Linked DNA regions of Drosophila melanogaster. The gene in region 1 interacts genetically with each later gene. Each region holds a gene or a part of one and is shown on either strand. Other genes may lie near its edges. The genes, in order: ATPCL and sea.

Region 1 (5,175 bases):
CTCAATCCTCAGAAAGGATTTGAACGGCACCTGGTCGTTTAGCAGATTTAGACGCAGGAGCTCAACAGATTCGTCCGGCTGAATTAGTATCCTTGGATCGCCTACGAGGGTTACTTCCAATATGGATTCATCAATGGGCTCTGTGAGACTTACGTTAAAGAGCATTAGGGGTATTGCGAACTTGTTCCGCACCACCAGCGATCGTTTTCTTTCCAGCGGTTCACCCTCGACGCCTTCTGGCGAGGTGGTCACAAATCTGGTGGCATTTCTGTCGAAGGTGAGCCCTCCATGGAAGATTTCCGCTCGCACCAGCACTGTAAACGGCTGATCCGCACCAGGACTGGTACTGGACTGGTTACTGTTGATCACCAGCAGATCATTAATGATCTCATCGCCTTCGAATAGGCTGGCATCCAACACTATACTTGTGTTGTTTGCGTCAAACGAGAGACCCGGAATCTGGCGAAGGTAACTGCCGAAGAGTTGGCGACTCTCGTCGTTCCGAACGTCCAGCTTGAACTGTAGTGCATCCGGAGCATTTAAAGTGGCCACACGGCCAAAGTCCGCCAGTGGATTGCGGGCGTACACAGAATGTCGTGGCAGAATCTCAAATTCGACAGGAATAAAAATATCCAGTTCCTGCTCTGCGACCTTGATGCGTATGTAGGCGCTGTGATTGCCAGCTGTGCGGCCGTGAAATGATATCCTAATGACCGGCTTTAAAGTGTGTGGAGGAATTTTCCACAGATTTTGTGGGCCCTCCGAGCCACCGCTGGGCAACTCTAACTGAAACTCGCCGCCGCTGCTGTATATCTAAAAGACATGGTTATGGGTAATATACCTACAGAGTGTTGATTAAAACCTACCTCAAGTATCTGCAGCGGCCGCTCGTGCGGGTTGTACATGTGAATCTCTGGCGTGAGTGTCGCATTCATGGGCGCCTTAATGCCCACCAACGGCTTTAGGCGGTACGGGCACTCACTGCCCTCGCCCTGTACCGCCAACTCGGCCTGGCCGAAGGAGGTGTGAATGAGAAGGTCGGCGGCAATGGCGCCTAGTTGGCGCGGTAGGAACACCACGTTGAAAGTTGTATTGCCTTGCGGCGGCACCTCTCTCGTGCCCAGGAAGCTGCTGTAGAACGCCGGACTTGGTCCGGCCACCGCGTTCAGCTGGAGCGTTCGATTGGAGTGTTGATTGAATAGTGTCACCGTCTGAGAACGCGCCTGGCCGACGGACCACGTTCCAAAGTCTAGACGGGACGGCACAAGCCGAAGGTCCCCCAAATCGTGGATTGGTGCCTCCTGCAGCCCCAGGAAAGTCTCCTGCAGGACCTTTTCACCTTTGGCGCCCAAAGTGAAAAGGAAGATTAGGATGAGCAGGATGGGTTCTGCGAATATTCGCAAAAGCGGCCTCATCTGGACTTGTGTGGGCATGGCGTGCGTTCCCTTGATCCTGGGATGCTGTGTGTGTGTGTGTTCGTGTGGGCGGCGATGGCGCAGCTCCTGGTAACCGACTTTCTGTCCAGCTGCTAATCTAAATTGGAGTTTCCTTGGCGTTGCGCTTTATTTATATTATCCAATATCGCTGGCCAAAAATTATTATCGCTTTTCGGTGTGACCGCCGTGGAATACATAAAACATACCATCCGGCACAGGGAAATACTAATCATATGATCATTTTAAAAATATACCATTAAAGCACAGAATCCTTTTTTAAGGCGCATCAGGTGGCTACATAAATTGCTTGATATATGGGCTTATGTTTAGTTGATTTCTTGCTGGTAGTATAATTTAAGCGTTCAATGGCATGCGATTAAATTTAACATTGTATTGTAGCAGATTATTAAAATAATGAAATATTTATATATTATTAAATATATATAAAAAAATATATATTTAATTTGTTTACTATAAATGCTATTAATATTATAGAGCCTAGCGCATACAGTTAATACTGTATATAATATTACATACTGTTGCGCAGTATTTTAAAACGCGCCAAAAAGTATGCTCGAAAAAAATTAATAACAAAATGTATCGCCATGTATTCGAGGGAAAACAGTGAAAGAGCTATCGAAACTTGGCCATCGCTAGCTAAAGAAACGACAACCGAAAGAAAGTTGCAGTTTAGTTTACGTGTTAAAATTAATCGCAGGTCGTGAAGCTGATTTAACTAAAGTGAGTGCTCTCGTCGCCCGTTAATATACCCGCGTATATACACCCACAATTTCATTGAATAGTGACGAGTACAAAGGAAAACATGACCAAATGAAATTTCGCACAGATCGTTCGGCTTGCTCCACGCACTTACACTCACACACACACACACACACACACACACACACACACACTATAATCACATATTCGCTGAATATTGCAGAAATATTAATGCGAAAATCAGCAAGCATTTTGCAATAATTACTGAAGGCGAAGATTAACAGCTATTTGACCCACGAACGGTGATGCAACAGCCCTATTGATTTTGCCCACTTTCACCGCTTACAACATTTTTAGTTTGGGCTTCGGTTTCGGTTTCGCATTTAGTTTTTTTTAGTTTCACCAGCAGGGCAGCCAATTTGCATACGCATCGGCTAGGCGTGAACTTCGTTTCCAGATGTAAATTAGATCGTGTGTACTTGCAAAGTCATCAGCCCCCTTCAATGTGCGCTCTTCATCGAATTAGATTCCATGCCATTTCCGATTTGCTAGCCATTGGCTGTTCATGTATTTTTGGGAGAAAGTTCGGCCCTCAGCCAAAGTGACCCACTGACTTGACTAACTGGGCTTGATATCCAAGCTGCAATGATATGTTGATAACCGGTTCTACAAAAGGTGCTTCCCCACACCCAACGCAATGGTAATGGTCCAGGGCCAGATCCCGTTGCAGACCTAATCTCTGGGAAACAACCATCTGGTTGAGCGAGAGCCATGTACATATCAACACATAAGCCGAAAATTCTAAAGACCCGAAGCCGTTGGAGTCGCGAAGCTTGAAAGCCGAGGCAGCGCCACGAAATCGAAATCAGAATACGCCTGTTGCTGGCTCATTTTCATGGATGGTGCTGTCGCGCATTCGATTTCAGTTTACTTCCAGACCCGACGACGTGCAGGTTGATTAGCTAGCTGCCCAGCCTGTAGCTACCCAAAGCTGAAGCCGCCCAGCACGCACACTTTGAAACTTACTCGAAACCTATTGCACCTGCACACAGTCGTGCTCTAATCAATTCTAAGTAAATAAATCAAAGTTTGAAAGTACAGACAAAGTCAAACGGTACGCGCGAACACACGAGACCCTCCTTTATTTGTATTTGAAAGAAGGCTATATTAAATCTTAATTGATTTGTTTTTATATATTTTTGTATTTTTGTTTTTTTGTTTTTTTGTATATTCTGTAGCTTCATCATGTCGGCGAAAGCAATCACCGAGGCCTCCGGCAAGGACATCCTGAACCGCCATCTCAACACCCATGGCGCCGGCGCGGCCACTTGCCGTTTTTCCACAGTAAATTCCACGACAGATTGGTCCAAGCTCGCCGTTGACCATCCCTGGCTGCTGACCACGGTGAGTGCCAGTTAAAAATAGCCGCGAAACTCGCGGAACTCGACGATTGCGAATCAGCCGATATGTAGGAACAACAATTGGGCCAGCGACAACAAACGCTCGGCGGGATTGTCATTGAACTTGACCTCGTGGTGGACGCTTCGACCACCACGCCGATGCCGAATGACTAAGCGCGGCTCCTGATAAGAGCGAATTGGGCGCCAGTCGGTCGCGCGAGTTGATCGCTGGAAATTGCGGAGTAGACGGACGGACGCGGGCGCAGACCGACAGCTCACCCCATGGCGCACTCTGGTTTTTATCAGATTGCCGGGGACCCAGTCGTAGGTCGCGTGGCATGGCGTGGTCTTGGCCCCTTTGGTTATCCGCCGGCGGATCAGGCTCACCTCATTTGCGAACACGATAAGCGTGCGTGGAGATTGGGATTCACGATCACGCAGCTATCTCTGATTGACCTTCCGATCGATAGTGGAAAGTTTGGCTGTAGCCAAGTACTTATCTTGAGCACTTATAACGGTTGAGTGGGAAATAAGGGGAAGCTAACATGTTCCGTGTTTGTTTTAGAAAACCTTTATCACCGAAATCCATATGTTCGAAATCTTATCATCAAGTTATTTGTTGATTTTGGAGCGTCTCAATTTATTGACCTTACCTAGCATTGTTGCGCCGCCTGAATTTCTAAAGAATAATTTCAATTCAAATATGCCGGAGATTTTAAAGTGGCGAAGTGTCGCTGAGTCGAGTGGGGGATTCAGGGAACTACTCTACTATCTTTCAAACAATTTTCGCAAAATAATATATTCTATTGAAATGTGATCAGTTAAAACTTATCTATAAGTTGTTTGTTGACTCTAGAGGGAGCGTCCCTATACTTAGTCTTAGTAATCTAAAGGCAGGATTGTGAAACTCTGATTATCAGGAAGGTGTTTTAATTTATGACATGCAGATAGAAGGTATTAACTTTCTGATTTAATAGACTTATTGTCTTGTTGTCACGTTTTCGTTTGAAGTGCATAATACTTTTATTACGTTACTGATAATGATGTTTACCCCACTGAAGGGGGAGAAGCAAACAATCAAACACAATACAACTCCCTTTAAATAGTTTCACTTAGAGCTATTAGTTTAATATTTTGATCTCGTAATTTTATATGCAATTAAGATAGATCCGAAATTTAGTGAGCATAATGGGAGTTCTTTCGGCTTTAATTACACGACAAAGTGAATCGCCTGACGGACATCTCGGATGATATTTCGTAGTCGGACTGTTTGCTCAATTTACACTCGTACGATCTTCTAATAAGCATATGAGATGTGTTTTTGTGTGGGCACAAGTACAAGTTCGGGTAAGGGTACGAGCACTGGCATTGTCATTGGCAATGACGCGGGAACGACCCCTGATGTTATCGGCTGATCTTTTCGACAGATGCTGATCGTTGGAACCGGCTTTTTTACTGACGCGCCGAGATCAGAAGGCACAAGTTCAACGATTTGTCGCTTATTTCATTTATATTTAGCATACATTTAATTAGCCCCGTCCTTTCCTTTGTTGCAGCCGCTGGTGTGCAAGCCCGATCAACTTATCAAGCGCCGTGGAAAGCTGGGACTAATTGGCGTC
Region 2 (7,843 bases), on another chromosome or scaffold:
ACACTGAGACCTCGGTAGAGACCCAGGAATCCACGTTCTCCCACCGTCTTCTTAACGCAATCAAAGATGCCGTTGTACTTCTTCGCCGCTCCCTTCTCGTCCAGCTGCAGTTGTGTCTTCACATACTCGGTGGGATAGGTGATGCAGATCTCGATGCCGCCCGTAATACCGCCGGCGACGATGCCCTTAAGGCCCACCTGGCCGCTGTCCGCAGCCGCCGCTCCGTGCTCCGTCATCCACGGACGTCGGCGGTACGGGCTGACAAGGGACGCGAAGGCGGAGCGATCCATGCTGACTGGGTGTTAGGTGGGGAATTAGCTGAAAGAAAATAGTAGAATTCATTTATTGTACTGAGTGAATTCCAGCTGATTTCTGTCCGATTGAATGTTATTTATATCCTATTGTTGTAAATGGATCAAAATAGACTCGTTCTGCGTGGGTGCGCGGATTTCAAAATATTCCCCAAAACTTGTATGAAAATATGGCATTTGTTCTTCATAGATAATGATATCTGAAGTATTCCTTATCATCTATTTAAACAATTTAACTATATCTGTGACGTACAATCGTGAACCGCGTATCTATGCGAATATCGACCTTAATTATCGTATTAAATGTTTGTTTAATTGCAGTTCTGCTCTACTAGTTATGCAATTTCTATGAGGAAAAGAATTCCACTTGGCTGGAATGGCTCCAGCGGGCTCCAATTTAAAGTTAGTAATCAATGCCATTATCATAGGTAACTTCCCATTGTATCGTTGACTCTCTTTTCCCCCAAAACATATTCATTTCACCTTGGGGACAAGGTTCGAAAACTGTGAACGAAGAGTCGACAAACTAACACAAACAGAGCGAAAAACCAAATGTTCGAAAATCTCAATAGTGATTACTTAAGATCGGGTGATATAGTCTGGGACGGTTTGAGTGGGAGCGGTACTATATCAATATCAGCAGGCTCGTTGGTTGTTTCGCTCTTTGCACTTGACAAATTAATATTGTTTCAGTGCGATTACATAACTTTTGCATGACCATAAATTATAATCGCACACAGTTGCAAGTTCATAATTATTCATTTTATGCCGCTGTTTAAGCCAATTTCCGTATCGGTCTGGAAATCTGGATAAACATAAACAATACCCACTGATAAGTCGGCACTGGAAAGTTTCTACCGACTTCCACACACACACACAGACTTCAAAAGCGGTTGATTAAGCCCACACCCACACACTCAAAGCGCACTGCTGTCTGGCAAAAGTCGCGCTTAATTTTTGCTCATGCAGCTTTGCTATCGGGTATTGTTCTCTACTACTCACATTAGAATTCAAAAAACCGAAATAATTATAATTTTGGAAAGCCCAGGCAGCGGTGAAGTGAAGTGGCGATGGGGACAGCGGTTGAATCTCAACTGATCGGGGCTACGAAAAAATTCCATTTTCCAATCGACGAGCGAAAGCGATACAGTGCATCCCGGAACTAACGGACTTTGGATTTTCAGATCCAACAGTCAGCAGTCCGAACAACTCTATCCCAATAGATTTAAAATGGTAGATTCTTCTAAATATCAAACTTTTTGTAAAATAAATTGAATCGATAGACTGAGCACGCTATTCTCTATAGTTCACTGCATCAGGGGCGCACTGTAATTCCAATGGTCGGCGTTTTGTAAACAACAGCACTTCAGCGGTATCCACTCTCCCCGCGCTCAGTAATGTACACAGTAAAATATTTCTATTTTGAAAATCAATCAGAAATTGAAAATAAAAGAAATGATACGTGGATCTATCTAGTAAACGATCCTAAACGAGTAACATACACATACATCAGTTCGATCCTAATAATGGAATATTAAGTTTCTAAAGATTGATTCCACATTGATAAAGGTATTTTGATAGCTATATAAGTGCGTTTCGATTACTTTATGGAGAACTTTTTTCTGTGCAGAGAGTGCGAAGAGTAGCGCCAAAGTAACGTTTTTTTGCTGACACCGCAGTGAAGATCTCTCTTTCTCTCTCTAATCGGAAACCCGTTTGTCCAGCAACAACAAAGTGGACAGAGCTTTTGGGGCGGACTGGAAAAGCTCCGCTGAAGAACAACAAGAAGAACATTTGACTTTAAATTTTGAATGTTAGGTACGCCGCAAAGTAGACCAACATTTTTTCTTTAGCGATTACACAATGAGTTCACACACACACAATGCGCGTAGCCTACGCACACCCACGCGGTAGTTTTATCCAGGTTATCAGAGCATTTAGTGCTACACTAATAAAATCGATAACGGCGCTTTTGCTTTTTAATTTATAACGCCCAATTGACCAACAATTAAGTGTCTACTATTTACCGACTGACGCAACTCGGCGTCATGCGGATACACGTAGTTCTAACGCCGCCGGCAAACGACGAATGTTAACAAAAAAAACCCGGCGAAAGTGTGGCCGTGCTGCCAACTGTCCGCTGATAACGTGTGCGCTTGCGCCAGCCCCCAAATGCAGCAGATGCCACCCACCCACACTTGTGGCACGCACTTGCAACAGACCCCATTCACACGAACAGTGCAAAAGCCCCAGCAGCATTGTGTTTTATACTCAATTAGCAAGAGCAAATGCATCGCAACGGAAACGGAAACGCGTGGGCAGAACATCCGCAGCCCAAAAGCAAATCAGAGACCATTCAGACTTGTGCCTCTTCTCTTTATACATACAACTTCAATAAACGATACAATAAGAAACGATAGTAAGAAACATGCTTTCTATAACCCCAAAGGTGGAATTTCTTTTAACAGTTTGAAATTTGAAACTTTATAATTCATATCGATTCAAAAATATGACCTCCAATTGAAAATGTAATTGAATTTGGTATTCTCGATCCCTTTAGCCATTGAAAATATGACACCCTACGAATTTCGGGATCCTTAACGATAACTTTCAAGCCAAACTAAAATATCTGGCATTGTTCGCCTCACAAACAAGCCACTTAAAAATTCTTTTTTAGGTAGGAACTAAAATTATTTCGATGAAAACACGTTACTTGCTTACTCACAAAACCGTAAATTTGGGAAATAGTTGGAAAAATGCCAAAATATAAATTTATAACTAAAACTAATATAATTTTGATTGCTGTGTCTAAGCTTACATTTCGTCATTAACCTAAGCAACAACAAGCTTAAAAGCGAAGTGTAAAAGAAAGTCGGAATGTTTTAAAAGCACTTCAAGTAATAGTTTATTCAAATGCATTCGGAAATTGGTCCCCGAGTACGAGGAGTATTCCCACATACACCGACTGCGGGTGTACGGGTGCGATTATAAATTAACATTGGGCAGAGCGTGCAGTTCCATTTGATTTGGTTTAGTTCACTGTTAGTCAACAAGAATATTGGCTATCTGAGTTAGTTTTAATGCATGTAGTCGTATGGATATTATAGTTTTAGATCAGTCTCTTAGACGGCCTTGTAGACGCGCACGCACTTAACGTTGCCGATGGTGAGGGTCTGTGGGGGAGGCATTGGATCAGTTAGGTGGGTGTGATGATATACGGCAAGGTATAGTAAGCGCTTACGGTGATCAGCTCGTTGTCGGTGAACTCGCGGACGATGGTGGTGGGCTTGTCGCCCTTCTGCTCCTGCGTCAGCTTGTTGCCATCCAGGGTGATGATGCTCTTGACGTTGCGACCGTCCAGGGTCTCCTCGTCGAACTCAACGCCCAGCTTGAAGCTGATGGCAGAGGTCTTGAAGGTGGAGGTGGTAGTCAGGGTGTAGGTATCGCCCTCCAAGGTCACCTCCACTGTGGGGCTCAGGCTGTTGCCCATCTTGCGCGTCACCAGACCGACGCCTGCAAGTGGAAAGGGAAAAGAAATTAATGAAGTTCCATCTCACGAGAATGTAAGGAAATCAAAGATCGCACCGAAAGATGAATGATGGGGCAGACTGCACATAATTGAATTAGCCCAACAAAGTTGGGGACCCCAAAGCGCTCACAATGCAAATCATATCATATTTAATTAAAAATAATAAAGCCGAGCCATGAAGTTCCCTGCAGATTCCGTTCCGCTGTAACGTCAAAAGTCGTGCTCAAGGTTAACGAACAATGCGGGCCGTCGTCTCCTCCCTCATCCTCATCTCCGCTCTTATCAATTGGCAAGCCCCTCCATGCATTTAAATATAGATCTGGCAAAGCACCACCTTATCTCGGTGCAGCATTCCATATATACATATGTTGTTTGAGGGCAGAACTGTGAATATAAATGCCATTCAAGCAGTGTAAATATATATTTTACTGGCTTAAGTGGTCAAGATCCATTTTGCTGACGTTCCAAATCGTAAACCTTTGAAGTGCTGATAATTACCATCGAAAGATAAGCAAAGCAATTCCATCATTAAATGATAACTTAACGATTGTGAACAATCAATCGTGTTTAAGTACTAAAATTTGTCACTTAATTTTATGGGACTTGTAATTACTGAAATACTATATGCATGCACGTAGCTGTATGAGTAATTTTGCATTTATATTTTTATTTGAAAGAAGTTTCGCCAAATGAAACGTTGAATCAAAAACAAAGTGTGAATCACTGGTACCTTACGAATGTGCCAGCAAATAGGGCACATGTATTATTTCCAATCTAGTACATTGTCAGACATCAAACCAACAAGTGGTCCAATCAATTATGTTCAATTATGTATGGACCACCACCAACTTGTTCTTTTGTCCAGTGCCCTCAAGTCAAGTGTCAACTGGCGTGGCGCGATAAGTCGCCAGGTTCCCACTCATGGGAACCCAGCAACTGTACCAGAGATCGATTTATATGCATCGTATATGACAGGAGAACCTTGAATAGATTAGACTGGCCTGCAATTGCGAACCGTGGTCTATGATAGGGGTGGCTGCCCAAAGTGCAAAATCCGTAATCGCGCCTAATTATCGTGCCTTTTGCGACATTGTATATACTACAAATGTGTGTACATAAATAGGCATATAGTTTATCGCATTTATATATGTACGACAACTGATAAGTGCTGCGAGGCCCCAACGGCAGGTTGATTTTAGATTTGTTTGGGCTTGAAAATTGAGAAGTACGTGGCTTTCGGACCAAGTCTACCATTAAACCGAAGCCGCAAAGTGTGTAGGCGAAAAGTTCTGACGAACTGGTGGTCTGGTAAATAAATCTGGACGCCCGTCTCTGGTTACCAAATGCCACTAGTCCCTATGGCGCGTCTAGACAGGAAGCGATGGTATTGATCAGTTTTAGTGGCACCATATAGTATAATCACGATTGCAATAGAAATTGCACTTTGATCGGTAAGAGAGTCGAATGTGTCCTATATGTAGTTTATATCTGGTGTTTCATTGTTGTCTAAATTGACAGCCGGGCAAAGATCATCGCAGCTATAAAGCTTGTAGTCTAGTGCAAAGTTCACTGCGAGACTTTCTCCCAAAATCTAGTACACAAATAGATAAAACCTGTCGCAAAAGCTAATGGCACTATGATGATTTCGGTCCCATGGAAAGCTGACGGAGGTGACTCAAAAAAGGGGAGCAAAGTTCAGGCCCCACACTTAATTAGTTTTTGGGTTTATGACTACCGCAGATAACCATTTACGGATTTTATACTGCTTGTCCTCCGATTCGCAACTGTAAAGTTGAGAAAGAGGGTGAGGTGAATAACTGGAGCACGTTTTTATTGCTGCAGATGTGCATCTCTTTCTCTGGTCCTATTCTCTATTGATTTTATCTGACACACACATACGCACATCAGCAGATTCAATGAGGTGTCAATTTATGCATGTAGCTAAACTATTTTAACAGTCGAATTCATTCATAATCTTCAGTTGATATAACATTTTCCGGAAGACATTTACTTTTTTCCCTCTCGTTTGGCCAATGAAACTTTTTGCACACTAGTGCGAAAAATGCCGGCCGGTCGATTTTCGGTGGCGTGTTTTCGGCTTCTTTTCTCTCCCTCCACTCCCGCTCTCGCTCTCTCGAGCACTTTGGTTTTCTATTTTTGATGCACTGCGAATTAGTTTTGGCAACTTACCCAGCTCCTTCATGTACTCATCGAAGTTCTCGGACTTGTCCAGCTTGTACTTCTTGCCAACGAAAGACATTTTTGGAATATTTGGTCTGTGTTCTGCACAAGATGTTCACTGTTGAAATTTTCTGAGCGAATGAAAAGCTCTGCGGCGTGCCGGCTGTTATATACTTTCGCGTTGCGGCTACGGCATTGCCAGATGCAAGTTAATGGCCTCTCGCTCTCATTTGATTCGCTCTCGTTCTGCGGCACGGCTTTTGCACGTTTCCTTTTTGTTTGTCTCACAAATTAAAAATTTAATGATGTGGCATCGGCTGAGCATCGGATTACCAGATGCAAAGCCAAGTACAGCCGCCAAGGTATCGAAATGTCGGCGCCAAGCCGTTGGCGCTCTTACAAAAAGCAGCTTTTTTAGGCGCTCTCCAAAAAAAATATTAACGGTTCTATGGGGGCCACCACTCCCCCTCACACCGCATATTGGTAATGGATCGGACGTGTTACTGCCACCCAACGTCTGACCAGCTCCTCCTGCTCCTCCCAGCACCCAAGCACCTTCACCTTGGCGCGATCAATTGGCTGCAGCCTTAATTGGTTCAAAAGCACCGGCCTAATAACGAACGCCACATTGTCATGCTGACAATGGAACTGCAATGTATCTCGCATTATACAGTCAAAACTTGCCTATTTTGGCGCGAACTTTAAACTTTTCTCCGAATTTCAGATTACGCATTGGGAAACCCAATGTGTGCAAGTAAGGAAGGGGAATTTATTTGAAACCCAGACTATCTCACTTTGTAGTACAAAATTATTATTAATATAATATCAAGATTTAAAATTTTAACATACATACACACGTATATTTTATTTAAAAGGATATCCGTTATCCAGGTTTCTGAGTCTCGACTGTTCGCCCCCCATATATTCCGAATTAGTAGACTTTTTTCTGTGGGTCAGTGGCACCATTAAAAGAATCTCCCGAGCTTCTACATTTTACCAATGTGTATAAATAATTTTCGACACAATTCGTTTATATTATTGTTATGAATAACTCTTGATAAGTCGCCGGTGAATTGTAATCTAATCGAGGACTTCCTTCCACCCATGGTCAGGCAATGCAATATTGAGATTACCCACGATCTCCATAAGCCTGCCCATCCCGTGGGAGGGCCCACCTACATGGATACCGACTTGTTTGTTGCTAAGCGTTATCTTATTAATTCAATTAGTCCATGATCCCGCACCCCCCTCACCGATCATCCTTATTATTGCATTGATCGTCATAAATAAAAGAGATTACGGGGGTTTGCCACGAAACATACTTATGTACATAATATGTACTACATATATTATTTATGTATACCAATAATAAGTAACGTCTTGATCAATACAAAATATGATATACTCTCAGTATATCTTTATATATATACTTCTTAATGTGTATTATTTACTGGAGTGGAAGAGCCAGTCGAGCTTTTTTAGTTTCGCCAGTGACTTGAATTTGACCGACGAGATGTGGGCCCTCCAGGTCAGTCCCCGATTTAGATGAACTCCTAGGTAGCAGTGCGATGTGACATTGTTTCCATCAAAAGTCAGATCTGTGCAAGTTCCGGGCCGCAGGGTAAAAGTTACACAGGCTGACTTCGAGGAGTTAATGGCCACATTCCATTTGGCAGTCCATTTTTCGACTGCATGCAGCCATTCCTGGACTGCGTTGAAGAAACATGCATTTAGTCATTCGGAAACTTTAAAGCCCGAAAGTATGCAGCACAAAATCGTAATATCAACTTTTCAAAAAACCTCAACTAACAGCTGCGCTCAA

The links.
Region 2: of ATPCL (region 1) and sea, changing one enhances a phenotype caused by changing the other (phenotypic enhancement), as found in Drosophila melanogaster (one study listed by BioGRID).

Annotation. Positions count from the first base shown.
Region 1 is NT_033778.4:15,998,190-16,003,364, reverse strand, and holds the start of ATPCL (ATP citrate lyase), read left to right. Parts: upstream 1-2,074; 5' UTR 2,075-2,177; exon of another isoform or gene 2,178-2,184; intron 2,185-3,077; exon of another isoform or gene 3,078-3,270; intron 3,271-3,394; 5' UTR 3,395-3,401; coding exon 3,402-3,560; intron 3,561-5,112; coding exon 5,113-5,175. Other genes in the region: Tmem131 (transmembrane protein 131), read right to left, coding at 1-813, 867-1,433.
Region 2 is NT_033777.3:11,560,888-11,568,730, forward strand, and holds the start of sea (scheggia), read right to left. Parts: upstream 6,168-7,843; 5' UTR 6,101-6,167; coding exon of another isoform or gene 6,031-6,100; intron 4,225-6,030; exon of another isoform or gene 3,928-4,224; coding exon of another isoform or gene 3,897-3,927; intron 3,825-3,896; coding exon of another isoform or gene 3,553-3,824; intron 3,485-3,552; coding exon of another isoform or gene 3,434-3,484; exon of another isoform or gene 3,171-3,433; intron 2,406-3,170; exon of another isoform or gene 2,213-2,405; intron 1,410-2,212; exon of another isoform or gene 1,314-1,409; intron 319-1,313; coding exon of another isoform or gene 291-318; coding exon 1-290. Other genes in the region: fabp (fatty acid binding protein), read right to left, coding at 187-318, 3,553-3,824, 6,031-6,100.